Lonchura striata: one gene and its partners. The protein of the gene in region 2 interacts with the protein of the main gene of each other region in a pairwise test. Links are inferred from orthologs where the notes say so. Each region holds a gene or a part of one and is shown on either strand. Other genes may lie near its edges.

Region 1 (3,743 bases), on a different chromosome or scaffold from region 2:
CAGTTGAACAGTTTTGCATGGAAGGTTAAATTAAATCTCTTTTCACTCTTGTCATTCTTGCACAAGCACCATCCTCAACCCTGCTGCCATATCCTGGTGGCTGCTGTGGCTGCAGATGGTGGTGAAGTCTCCACTGTCTCTTGTGCCCTGCCAGGCTCTAGCAGCAAAGCTAACACCTCTCACCCCTTTTCCTGCTCCCAAACAGTCTGAAGAAGATCAAGATATAATTTCTAGGGGCTCCATTTGCCATGCAACAAGCTATTTCCATTAGGAAGGGGAAAATGGGGGACATTAATGTAATGGCTGCTCTGTTTGCTCTACAGGCTGTAAATTCTTCCCAGGTCCCTTTTGTGTTCTCTCTTGCCCCACAGCTGACATGGTGGGACCTACACTGAGCATTGGATAGGTGGAAAGTCAATCCAGCACCAAGACCTGGCAGTGAGACAAGGACCTTGTCCTGCCTGCAGCCATGGCAGGATGGGAGCTGCTGCCTCTGTTTCCCTGAGAAGGTATGTGGGTGCCCACACGACACTGCACAGATGTGTGAACTGAAGGAGATATTCCACCAAAGAGCCCAAAACCTCCTGCCAAGAGCTCTGCTCCACCTTTCTGGCTGTCCTGGAGGTGAGGGTTTGGCACAAAACTCTTAAAGAAGCAAGAGTTCCCCAGGGGAATCAATGTCTGTCTGCTGGGCTGGCCCCCACTAAAAGTGTCTTTGGGAACAAGGAACTCTTGGGATTACTCCATCCTGATCCCAAACTCCCAGTAAGGATCCTCTCTCAGCTGCAATCCAGCCTGGTGCTGGGGAATCCTGGATGTGGCACCTCCATTGGTGCCATCCTCTGCCCCCTTCATCCACTAGGTCTGAAACAGGACTGATGCAGGGCAGGAGCAGCTGAAAGTGGGGATGGGGAGGAGAAAGAGCTGAGGGTGCTCAGCACCAGCAAGGCCTGAGTGACACAGCCCTGCAGGCTGGAGGCCACTGAAAGCTGCCTTGTTCCTTGCCCAGGCCCAGCATGAGGTCAGCTGCCACTGCTCCTGCTCCACAGCCAGAATAGAGGTGCCTCTGTTCTCAGAATTGTCAGACTTGGATCCCACTGACATTTTTTGGGATGAAACAGCAAGAATCAGCCTGTAAAGGTAGCAAAACCTTGCTGAAATGAAATAACTCCCTAAAAGCCCACAGAAGGAGGAATTCATGGCCCTCAAGAAAATTATGGGGAAGTCTAACAGGAATTCAGCTGTGTGAAGTCCAGCTGAGACGTCCAACAAACAGCAGCAAATCCTGACTGCTCTTCCAAATGCCCCAGGGTACAGGGGTCTCCTTTCCCATTGCTTCCTACTTTCTCATATCCCAGCCAAGCAGTTTCTCCTCTGAACTCAGAACTGACCCCTTGCTTGGCATGGGATTGCTGCCCACTGTCATCATGTCCATGAGACCATGTTTGCCCCTTGGGTGAGGCAGCTCAGCCCCAGGCACTGTGAGACTGAGGGGAGAGGGGAAAGGCCAGGGGGCGCAAGGGGAGATGGGGGAAGGGATCAGTGTGATCCTATGCTGCCTCTTCCAAATGTGCTTCAGATTTGCTAAATGTGCTCTGACAAAATAGGTCAGGGGATCTGAGTTGTTATTTTCAGGCAAAAGTAGCCAATTTTGCTTTCTTTTCAAATCTTAAAATTTTCTTAATAGAGCCAAAATAATTCAAGGAAGCCCCAAAAGCAATTCCTTAGTTCTAGGCTAGACTGTCCTGGGATGAAAAGGGTCTCAAACGGCAATTTCAGGGGCCATGCAGTGGATCTTCCAGTGTCTGACTCATGGTGCCATCGGAAGGTTAAAATAAAAGATAAAATACAATCCACTGACTTTTTTTTTTTTTTTCTAGTAACTCTTCACAATAAAGTTTGCAAATATTCACTCGGGCCCCTATCCCGGAGGGCCCTTTTTCCTAAGATAGACACGTCGGGAGAGGGGAGTGAGTCAGGATGGGAGAGGGCAGCAAGAGCCAACAAAGCTATTCGCCCCCCTCCCAACCTCCCGCTCCGCGAACTGCCCTCCCCGGGGAGACAAAGGGCCGGAGCGGGGCTGCGGAGCGCAGCGGGCCGGCGGCCGTCCCGGCCAGGAGCCGCCCTGGGCCCCCCCGCGGCCGCGGAAGCGTTTCCGCTGGCCTCGGCCGGCGCTGCGTGGCCACTCGGCGCGGGGAGTTAAACTCAAGAGTGATAAAAGTGAGTGAAAACGCGGCGGAACGGGAAGAAAACACGACACCACCAAACTGGAGAAAAGAAAACGCGGCGGAAGACACCACGACCGGACAAGGATGGAGTAAAACAAACCGTAGTAAAAGCAAATAAAACACTCCGCGAGGAAATAAGCCACAGCGATGTGATCCGCGTTAGTGCCAGGCGGCCCCCCCGCCCTGCGCGCCGCCGCGGGGGTCCCACCGCCCCCTCTCCGGAGGAGCCCGGCCCGGGGGGGATCCCACAGCCCTGGTCTGGCTCCTCGACGTGGTTTGGCTCCTCGCCCCCCCTTTTCCCCCCGATAAGAAAACTCGGGAAAGTGGAAGGAGGGAGGGAGAGCGCGGTCCCACCTGGGTGAGCAGCGCCGAGCACCAGCTGGAGCCCGAGGAGGCAGCAGAGGGGGCCGCGGAGTTGGGGGCACAGTGGGGAGCACACGGACCGCGGGCCCCCTGAGCCGCGCCCCATTCCCGGCGCTGCCCGCTCCGCTCGGGCCCCTCCTGCCGCTCCTGCCGGGCCGGGGCCGCGGACGGGGACAGGGGTGAGGGGAGAAGGAGGAGGAGAAGAAGGAGGAGAAGAAAGAGGAGGAGGAGGAGGGACGCGAGCGGGAAAGGGAGGGAAAGAAGGGGACGGCGGGGGGGGGGGGGGGGGAGGATATGTTACAAAATAAAATAAGAAAAAACACGAAGCGTGCGCGCCGGGCTTAGACACTGCGTCAGCAGACCGGGGCCCGGCCCAGCGGCGGCGACAGAGCGGGGCGCGACCCGAGCTCCGGGGGGCTCCACCGCTGCAGCGCATGGCTGCGGCGGGGGGTCCGGAGATGAAGCGGGGGACTGGCAGAAACGAAGGCCGGACTGGCCAGGGCATCCCTGCAGACGCCCAGGGATGGCTGGCTCTCCCCAGCAGGGTACCCACGCAGCTCTCTTCACACCCTGAGAGGTCTCAATGCCCTAGTACGGGGCGGAGGGTGTGGGGGAGATGCCCGCGGTGCCACCGGCCCCGCATCCGCTTCCGCTGTGGGTCCTCAGCGTGGGACCCCACCTCGCCGGAGACAGCAGCCAGGGTCTGCTTTGAACTCCCACCACACATCGTCGCTTGCACTTCTGGGTGCCAGGCAGTTATCATTCCAAGCACAGCCAGCCCAGCTGGATCATCCTCCATCCATCCCTGTGGCACAGAGCTAGGCAGCTCCCAATCCAGCTGTGGATGCTGAAGTTGGACATGGCTCACTGCACTTTCCACCACAAGCCCAGTGCCTCCAGCCATAGGGTGCTGGTGCAGCTCTCCAGCTTCTGGTACTGTGCTTAGGGCATGAGACAAAGAACATCCACAATATTTCATGTAGGTATATCCCACATTCTGGAGCTGAACATAAAAGGCTTTTAAAAACTTTTGAAGGACTTTTAAACTTTTATTTTTCACACTTCCACTCTAGCAGGACTAGCCTCCCAAAGAAGGCAATATACGTGGAAAACACTGGAAGTTGGCATATTCCTGGCTTTTTACATCCATTT
Region 2 (3,743 bases):
CTGGGGGTGAGGGCAGCACAGCAGAGCAGGCAGTTTGTGAACACACTCCCCACTTTATCTTGATTCTGTTTGTGGTGCCACAGACATCAAGGGCTGCAAAAATACCATTTCCTTTCTGCAGTCTGACTTTCCTGGCACCTCAAAAAACCAACTGTAATGCTCTGAGGGCATGCACTGTGCTTTGCTGCTGTGCTTCCTGGCAGTCTGCTGCCAGCAGCGTCTCCAGACAAGATTCCTTGTGACACCAAGGTCACAGACATCATCAGCCCCGTGCTTTCTCTCCACTTTCCTATTTTCCTTTCTCTTCTCCGTCCTCCACCAAACGAGGAATTATCTTACGAATCTGCAAACTCTAAAGAGTCAGGGGGAAAAAAGGGAGGGTTTTCCCCTGAGGAGGAAGGAAGGCAACTCAAACACTGACTCAAACACTGCCCCTGAACACTTCCTTCACTTCTGGGACTCCCAGTGACAAGTTTAATTAAATTATTAAACCTTCTCACCAGGGCTGTGCCTCCACATATACAACAATACAGAAATGCACAGCCCAGCCAGGAAACAGGACAGGGGATCTCTTCTAGGGCAGAGCTAACACTATTAATGCCAGATCCACACTCCTTACCCAGCTCTGCCACAGTTAACTGGCACCATCAGCCAGCCTGCCTGTGCAGTCACGCTGCAAACACGTCAAACTGGCATTTAAATAAATAAATATAGAAGCACAGAATTATTCATGTTGGAAAAGACCTCTGAGATCATCAAGTCAACCTCTGACTAATCACCACCTTGTCAACCAGACCAGGGCAATGAGTGCCACATCCCAGGAGCTCCTTGAACACCTCCAGGGATGGATGGATGGGGTCTCCACCACCTTTTCATATCTAAAAGCTTCCCAGTCTCTTTTCTGCCTTGGGACAGCTTCTTCCTCTTACAGTTGCTGATATCTCTAACAAAACACTGACCTTGGAAAGGCCACCAGCTCTCAGCAGGAACAATTCCTTCCTCAACAAGGAATTATTTCTTTGTGGGGGGTGGGGTTTGGAAAAAAATGTAAAGGAAGAAAAAAAAATTTTCTGAAGTATCCAAGGAACTCTTCTGTAGCAATTTCTTGTGTTTAACCACCTCTCAGGCAACAAATGCCAGAGGCATCCAGACCCTGCACTTGTGAGCAAGTCAAGGCAGGGAGAAGAGAGAAACCCTGAGTCACTCCCAGCACAGAGCGGGCTGTGGGTAGGAGAGAACCCTGCAGGGATGTGCCGGTGGGAGAGGAGAACCCTGCTCCTCCCGGGAGGGACAGGGATGTGCCGGTGGGAGAGGAGAACCCTGCTCCTCCCGGGAGGGACAGGGATGTGCCGGTGGGAGAGGAGAACCCTGCTCCTCCCGGGAGGGACAGGGATGTGCCGGTGGGTCACCGGGCAGGCTGGGCAGTGTCGCTGCTCTCTCCCAGCGCATCCTTCCCGCACGTCGGCTGCAATTCGGGTCACGCTCACCGGGCACGGGCTGCTGGGGCTGGGCACGCCCGGACACAGCGCACAGGGCTCCCAGCAAGGCCAGGCACCGCCGAGAGGAACCCTCGCGGAATTACCGACTGAATTGCCGGTGGAATTACCGACGGAATTCCTGACAAACCCCCCGGGAGCGCAGAGGGCCAGGGCAGGGCAGGACCCGGAGGCCAGCGGTCCCAGCTGGGAGCGAACAGCCCCGGTCCCCGAGCAGGGCACCGAGCTCCCCCGGCCCGCCCGTCACATCCAGGGGTGACGACTGCACCGCCACCTCCCTGCCCGCTCCCGACCCCAGCACCAGCTCCGGCAGGAATTTCCTCCCGGAAAAGACGCTGTGCCCCGGGCGGAGCATCCAGCAACAGAGGCGGACCACGCGGCCAGCTCCAGTGCCGGGAAAACGCCCGGGCGGGGGGCGAGGCCGGCAGAGCGGCGGGCAGGGCCCGGGACACCCCCGAGCCCCGGAGCGGCCCCGAGCCCCGGGACAGCCCCGAGCCACGGTGCAGCTCCCAGCCCCGGTGCGGCCCCGAGCCACGCTGCAGCCCCGGTGCGGCCCCGAGCCCCGGTGCGGCCCCGGTGCGGCCCCGGTGCAGCCCCGGTGCGGCCCCGAGCCCCGGTGCGGCCGGGCCGGCCCCGCTCCCGGCGGCGCGGAGGGGCCAGGGCGGCGGCCGAGCGGGGCCGCGCCGTGACTGACACCGCGCGCAGCCAATGGGAGGCGGCGGCGGCGCAGCCGCGGCCAATGGCGCGCCGGGGGCGGGCCGTGCCCCGTTGTCAATTGGCAGCCAATGGCGGCGCCCCCGGCCCGCCGCCCGCCCGGCCCGCGCCCCCCGCCCGCCGCGCCGGGCCCCGCTGGCCGGGCCCGCCCGGTGCCCCCGCCCGGCCCCGGGCCCGCCGCTCACCGCAGCGCATCCCCTGCCACAGCCGCCGCCGCGCGCGCCCGCCGGGGCCGCCTCATCCGGGGACTGGGGGGCGAGGCCGGCGCGTGATGCAAGAGCCGGCGGGGGCGGGGGCACCGGCGTCACACCGGGCGGGGCCTGGATGGTGCCCGGTGCCGGTGCCCGGTGGCCAGCGCCGGTGGCCGATGCTCGGTCTCGGTGCCCGGTGCCGGTGCCCGCTGCCCGCTGCCCCTGCCCGGTCTCGGTCTCGGTCTCGGTCTCGGTTCCGGTGCCCGGTGCCGGTGCCGGTCCCCGTTTCGCACGGCGAGGGGATCCCCCCGTGCTCGCCCCCACCCCGCCGGCCGCCCCCGGGGTGAGGTGGTCCCGCCCTCCTCCTTTGCAGCCTTCGGGAACTGCCCCCTGCCCGTTCTCTGCCGCTCTGTCCCCGGTGACCCCGGCGGGGGCACACCAGGCACGGGCATGGACACGGGCCCTGCCTCGGGGTCCCGGACATCCATCCCTCGGGGTCCCGGACATCCATCCCTCGGGGTCCCGGACATCCATCCCTCGGGATCCCGGACATCCACCCCTCGGGGTCCCGGACATCCACCCCTCGGGATCCCGGACTCCATCCCTGGGGATCCCGGACATCCATCCCTCGGGGTCCCGGACATCCATCCCTCGGGGTCCCGGACATCCATCCCTCGGGATCCCGGACATCCACCCCTCGGGGTCCCGGACTCCATCCCTGGGGATCCCGGACTCCATCCCTCGGGGTCACGGACATCCATCCCTCGGGGTCCCGGACTCCATCCCTCGGGGTCCCGGACTCCATCCCTCGGGATCCCGGACTCCACCCCTCGGGGTCCCGGACATCCATCCCTCGGGATCCCGGACTCCACCCCTCGGGGTCACGGACATCCATCCCTCGGGGTCCCGGACTCCATCCCCCAGCCCGCGCTCCTCGCGCCTGTTTCCCCCGGGAGCGCCGCTCTGCCTCGGAGCCTCCTCCGGCAGCCGGCGGCGGGCAGCGGCCGGGCCCAGGCGGGGCTGCGCTCCCCGGGGTGCGGGAGGTGCGGGATGCGCTCCCAGCGGTGTGGGCTGCGTTCCCAGGGGTGCGGGATGCGTTCCCCGGGGTGCGGGATGCGTTCCCAGGGGTGCGGGATGCGTTCCCCGGGGTGCGGGATGCGTTCCCAGGGGTGCGGGATGCGTTCCCAGGGGTGCGGGAGGCGCTCCCAGCAGTGCGGGATGCATTCCCAGGGGTGCGGGATGCATTCCCAGGGGTGCGGGATGCGTTCCCAGGGGTGCGGGATGCGTTCCCAGGGGTGCGGGAGGCGTTCCCCGGGGTGCGGGATGCATTCCCAGGGGTGCG
Region 3 (3,743 bases), on a different chromosome or scaffold from region 2:
CAGCTACTTTTCATCAAGGAGGAAACAACATTTCAGAATATCTTGAAAATGCACCTACTTGCTAACAGTTTAAGGTGAGCTGGGGTGTGTGTCCAAGAGCTGTGAAGAAATGCAAAGACCTTTCCTGACTAGCCAAACTTCAAATTTAAGATAACTATTTAAAGCTGTTGGGATTTTACTGTAACGTACATGTGTGTAGGTATCCAGAGATTTACATAATCTGTTTTTATTGCTCTAACTGAAACACAATACAGGATTTTCAACCTAATTACCAAAAGCACCATTAGTATTTTGATCTCCTTAGCATCCCTGTTGGCACGGGACTTAACCCTGCCTGAAAGCTTCTAATTAGGAAGATGGTGCTGCTGTTTACAGTGAATAGTGGCTGAAAGAGAACACCACAACCACTGTTGATATATTTTATCATATTACATTCTGCAATCTTATATTCCTTCATCTCCTCTCCATTTTGAGAGATCCACACTTTCTAAGGATTCCAGGCAAGCAATGTTCATGACAAGACTGATGGCATGACAGCCTTTTATCTAAAGATCCCATTGCCAACATTTCCCATTAACTGGTTTATTCCAAATAACCAATCCCTCTTAAAGGATGATCAGGTCCAAAAGTAACGGATTTTACTCCAATAAGCTTTTACATGAACAGTTCCATTAAACAGGATTACTCATTACTATAACAATACATTAAATGAGATCATTATATTAACTGAGACTATTTCTACCCTTTTCAACAGCTTTACAGTTAAAAGACAATACTGAGCAGTTTCTGGAGTCCAAACATTGACATTTTTATAATGAAAAATACTATATAGGAGCAGAAAGTAAACTTCAACTTCAGAAACAACTTTTAGACTCTTAAGTTGGATATTGACGTAGATCCTTGGCTGACATTTAGGTTACTCGTGTCCCATTTGTTAGGCCATCACCTCTTCAGCTGGGAGGCATATAATTCAAAATGGGCCCATAGAATTTAGAGGCACATGATCATTATATACACGAGAAAAAAAACCTTGCCAATTTCATTCATTATCAACAAACAATGTAAATGTTTACTGCCTCAGGCTAACCCAAGAAGATAGAAGTTTACTAAAGTCTCGGTACATATATGAAGTGGCTCTCAATGTAACAAAATGAGAACTTAAGATTCAACTTCATTTCACTTTTAACACCTTCGCAGCAAAAAATTCTATTCTGCACCAAAGCAAGGCTCAAAGCCCACAGACACCAAGAACAAACCTGCTATAGATATGAAGTTCTAACCCTGCAAGATGCACCAGCTTCCCTGAAAAGCGCTCTACATCTTTACACAGCATACCAGACGGAGTACCAGATCGACAATCCTTACCTTAATTTGATGTCTGGCCTGGACACTACGGCTCTGCTAGAGCATAAACTTCCCATGCAGTTTTGCTTTCTTAAACTGAAGATAAACAGCTCGACCTCCTCCAGCTCAAAGTTAAAGGCTGAGGTTGCCTACGTTTCATTGTGTGCCAAAGTACATTTGACAGAGCACGAAGTGAACAGCAGGCTCTGGGTGACGAAAGCAAAGTCTCAGTATCATTAAAGAGAAATCACCACAACCTACAGAACATCCCCTTGGTATAAATCTCAACAGATCACTGCTCAAGTAGAAATGCCACCATTATAATTATTTTCCACCGTTACTGTTTTTTTTTTTTAATTGTTGTCTACGAACACACACTGGGTGCTTTTGCTTCTTCCCCATTTCGTAGACTAAAACCCTCGAGACACGAAACCTCACGCTACAACACCTCGGCGGCCGGGGCTCGCAGCAGCTGCCCCCAGCACCTGCGAGCGCGTCTCCCCGAGCACGAATTACAGGGCGCACAAACCACCGCAGCGCCGGCGCCGGGCCCGCCGTGCCGGCTGCCCCGAGCCGCAGCGCGGCGGCGGCGCGCCCGCGGCATCCGGCCGGCGCGGAGGGGAGCGCGGAGGGGAGCGCGGAGGGGAGCGCGGAGGGGAGCGCGGAGGGGAGCGCGGAGGGGAGCGCCGAGGGGAGCGCGGAGGGGAGCGCGGAGGGGAGCGCGGAGGGGAGCGCCGAGGGGAGCGCCGAGCCCGCCCCGCCCCGGCCTCCCGCGGCCCCGCTGCCGCAGCATCCCCGGCCGAGCCGCGACCCCCGCCCCGGCGCAGGGCGGCGGCGCTGCCGGGAGGACGGCGGCCGCTCCCCGCCGGCACAGAGCCCCGATGAGGGGGGCAGGGGTGGCGGCCGCCCCGCACTCACCGGCGGACGGCGCGGGCCGCTGTCGCCTGCCGGGGCAGGGCCGCTCCGCGCCCTCGGCTCCCGCCGGCCCGGCCCGCGCAGGGAGGGGCGGGGGGCGGGAACACGCAGCCGCCCGCGCCCCTCGGCCCGCCTGACGTCAGCGCGCCCGCCCGCCCGGCCCATGGCGGCGGCGGCGCCGGGGCGCATCGCCTCATCTCCCTCATCGCCCCCCTCGCCCCGGCTCCCTCATGGTCCCCATCGCCTCATCTCCCTCATCGCCCCGGCTCCCTCATGGTCCCCCTCGCCTCATCTCCCTCATCGCCCCGGCTCCCTCATGGTCCCCCTCGCCTCATCTCCCTCATAGCCCCCCCTCGCCTCATCTCCCTCATCGCCCCCCTCGCCTCATCTCCCTCATAGCCCCCCCTCGCCTCATCTCCCTCATCGCCCCCCTCGCCCCGGCTCCCTCATGGTCCCCCTCGCCTCATCTCCCTCATCGCCCCCCTCGCCTCATCTCCCTCATAGCCCCCCCTCGCCTCATCTCCCTCATAGCCCCCTTCGCCCCGGCTCCCTCATCGCCCCCCTCGCCTCATCGCCCCCTCCGCCGTGCCCCACACCGCCGAGCCCCACACCGCCACACCACAGCCGTGTGACGCTGCCACCGGGCGGGCAAAGCCTCTGTCAGCCTGCCCCAGCAATCGCCGAGCTGGCTGGCAGAACCAAGGGCAAATGGGAGTTGTTGAAGGCATTGCAGGAATGGGCCTGCGAGTGTCCCGGCCCTGCGGCATGGGAGGGTACGATCATAGCATCGTCTGGGGTGGAAGGGACCTGTAAGATCACCCAGTGCGGCCACTGTAAGCCCTGAACCATCACCCAACACCAGATCCCGATGACAGACACCTCCAGAGACTGTCCCTGTGCCACCTCTCTGCACAACCTACTCCAGTGCCCAACCACCCAAACAGTGAAAAAACTGTCTTCTAGCATCTGTTCTGTTCCTGTTCAAGGCCATTTCCTCCTGTCCTCTCTGCAGGCACTGCAGAAGAGACCGGCCCCACCTCAGTAAACCTGCTTTCACAGAGCTGCAGGCAGTGATGATGGCCCCCACCCCAGCTCCCTCGCTGTTCCTCACAAGATATATTTTCTAAACCTTTCACAAGCTTTGTTGCTCTTCTCTGGACATACTCCAGTCCTTCAATGTCCTTTGTAAAGTGGGGGCCCAGAACTGAAGACAGCACTCGAGGTGCAGCCTCAGCAATGCCCAGCACAGGGATTGGGATGATCCCTGCCTTGGTCCTGCTGCCCACACTACAGCAGAGGCACTCAAAGGAGAAAGGTGGTGACCCAGCTGTACAAAAATCCTGAAGGACTCTTGCAGTCACCCATGGGAGACCAGGCATTCTCCATGCCGGTGCTCACAGAATTAATTAAGTTTAATTTCCTCAAATTTTCTGCCTGTGCTAGGAATTAGAAGGCACTGACAGAAGGCTCAGGAAGTTCCTTGC

The links. The genes of interacting proteins can lie anywhere in the genome.
Region 1: the proteins of NDEL1 (region 2) and MRC2 interact in a two-hybrid assay, tested with the Homo sapiens proteins (2 studies listed by BioGRID and IntAct). The link is inferred for Lonchura striata from reciprocal best matches to the Homo sapiens genes NDEL1 and MRC2.
Region 3: the proteins of NDEL1 (region 2) and CCSER2 interact in binary tests that used the Homo sapiens proteins (3 or more experiments, as listed by UniProt). The link is inferred for Lonchura striata from reciprocal best matches to the Homo sapiens genes NDEL1 and CCSER2.

The regions. Positions count from the first base shown.
Region 1 is NC_134627.1:1,140,385-1,144,127, forward strand, and holds the start of MRC2 (C-type mannose receptor 2), read right to left. Parts: upstream 2,766-3,743; 5' UTR 2,698-2,765; coding exon 2,583-2,697; intron 1-2,582. UniProt on the Homo sapiens protein: May play a role as endocytotic lectin receptor displaying calcium-dependent lectin activity. Internalizes glycosylated ligands from the extracellular space for release in an endosomal compartment via clathrin-mediated endocytosis.
Region 2 is NC_134621.1:1,236,033-1,239,775, forward strand, and holds the start of NDEL1 (nuclear distribution protein nudE-like 1), read right to left. Parts: upstream 2,500-3,743; 5' UTR 2,396-2,499; intron 1-2,395. UniProt on the Homo sapiens protein: Required for organization of the cellular microtubule array and microtubule anchoring at the centrosome. May regulate microtubule organization at least in part by targeting the microtubule severing protein KATNA1 to the centrosome.
Region 3 is NC_134609.1:4,661,469-4,665,211, reverse strand, and holds the start of CCSER2 (serine-rich coiled-coil domain-containing protein 2), read right to left. Parts: upstream 2,349-3,743; 5' UTR 2,263-2,348; intron 1,551-2,262; exon of another isoform or gene 1,366-1,550; intron 1-1,365. UniProt on the Homo sapiens protein: Microtubule-binding protein which might play a role in microtubule bundling.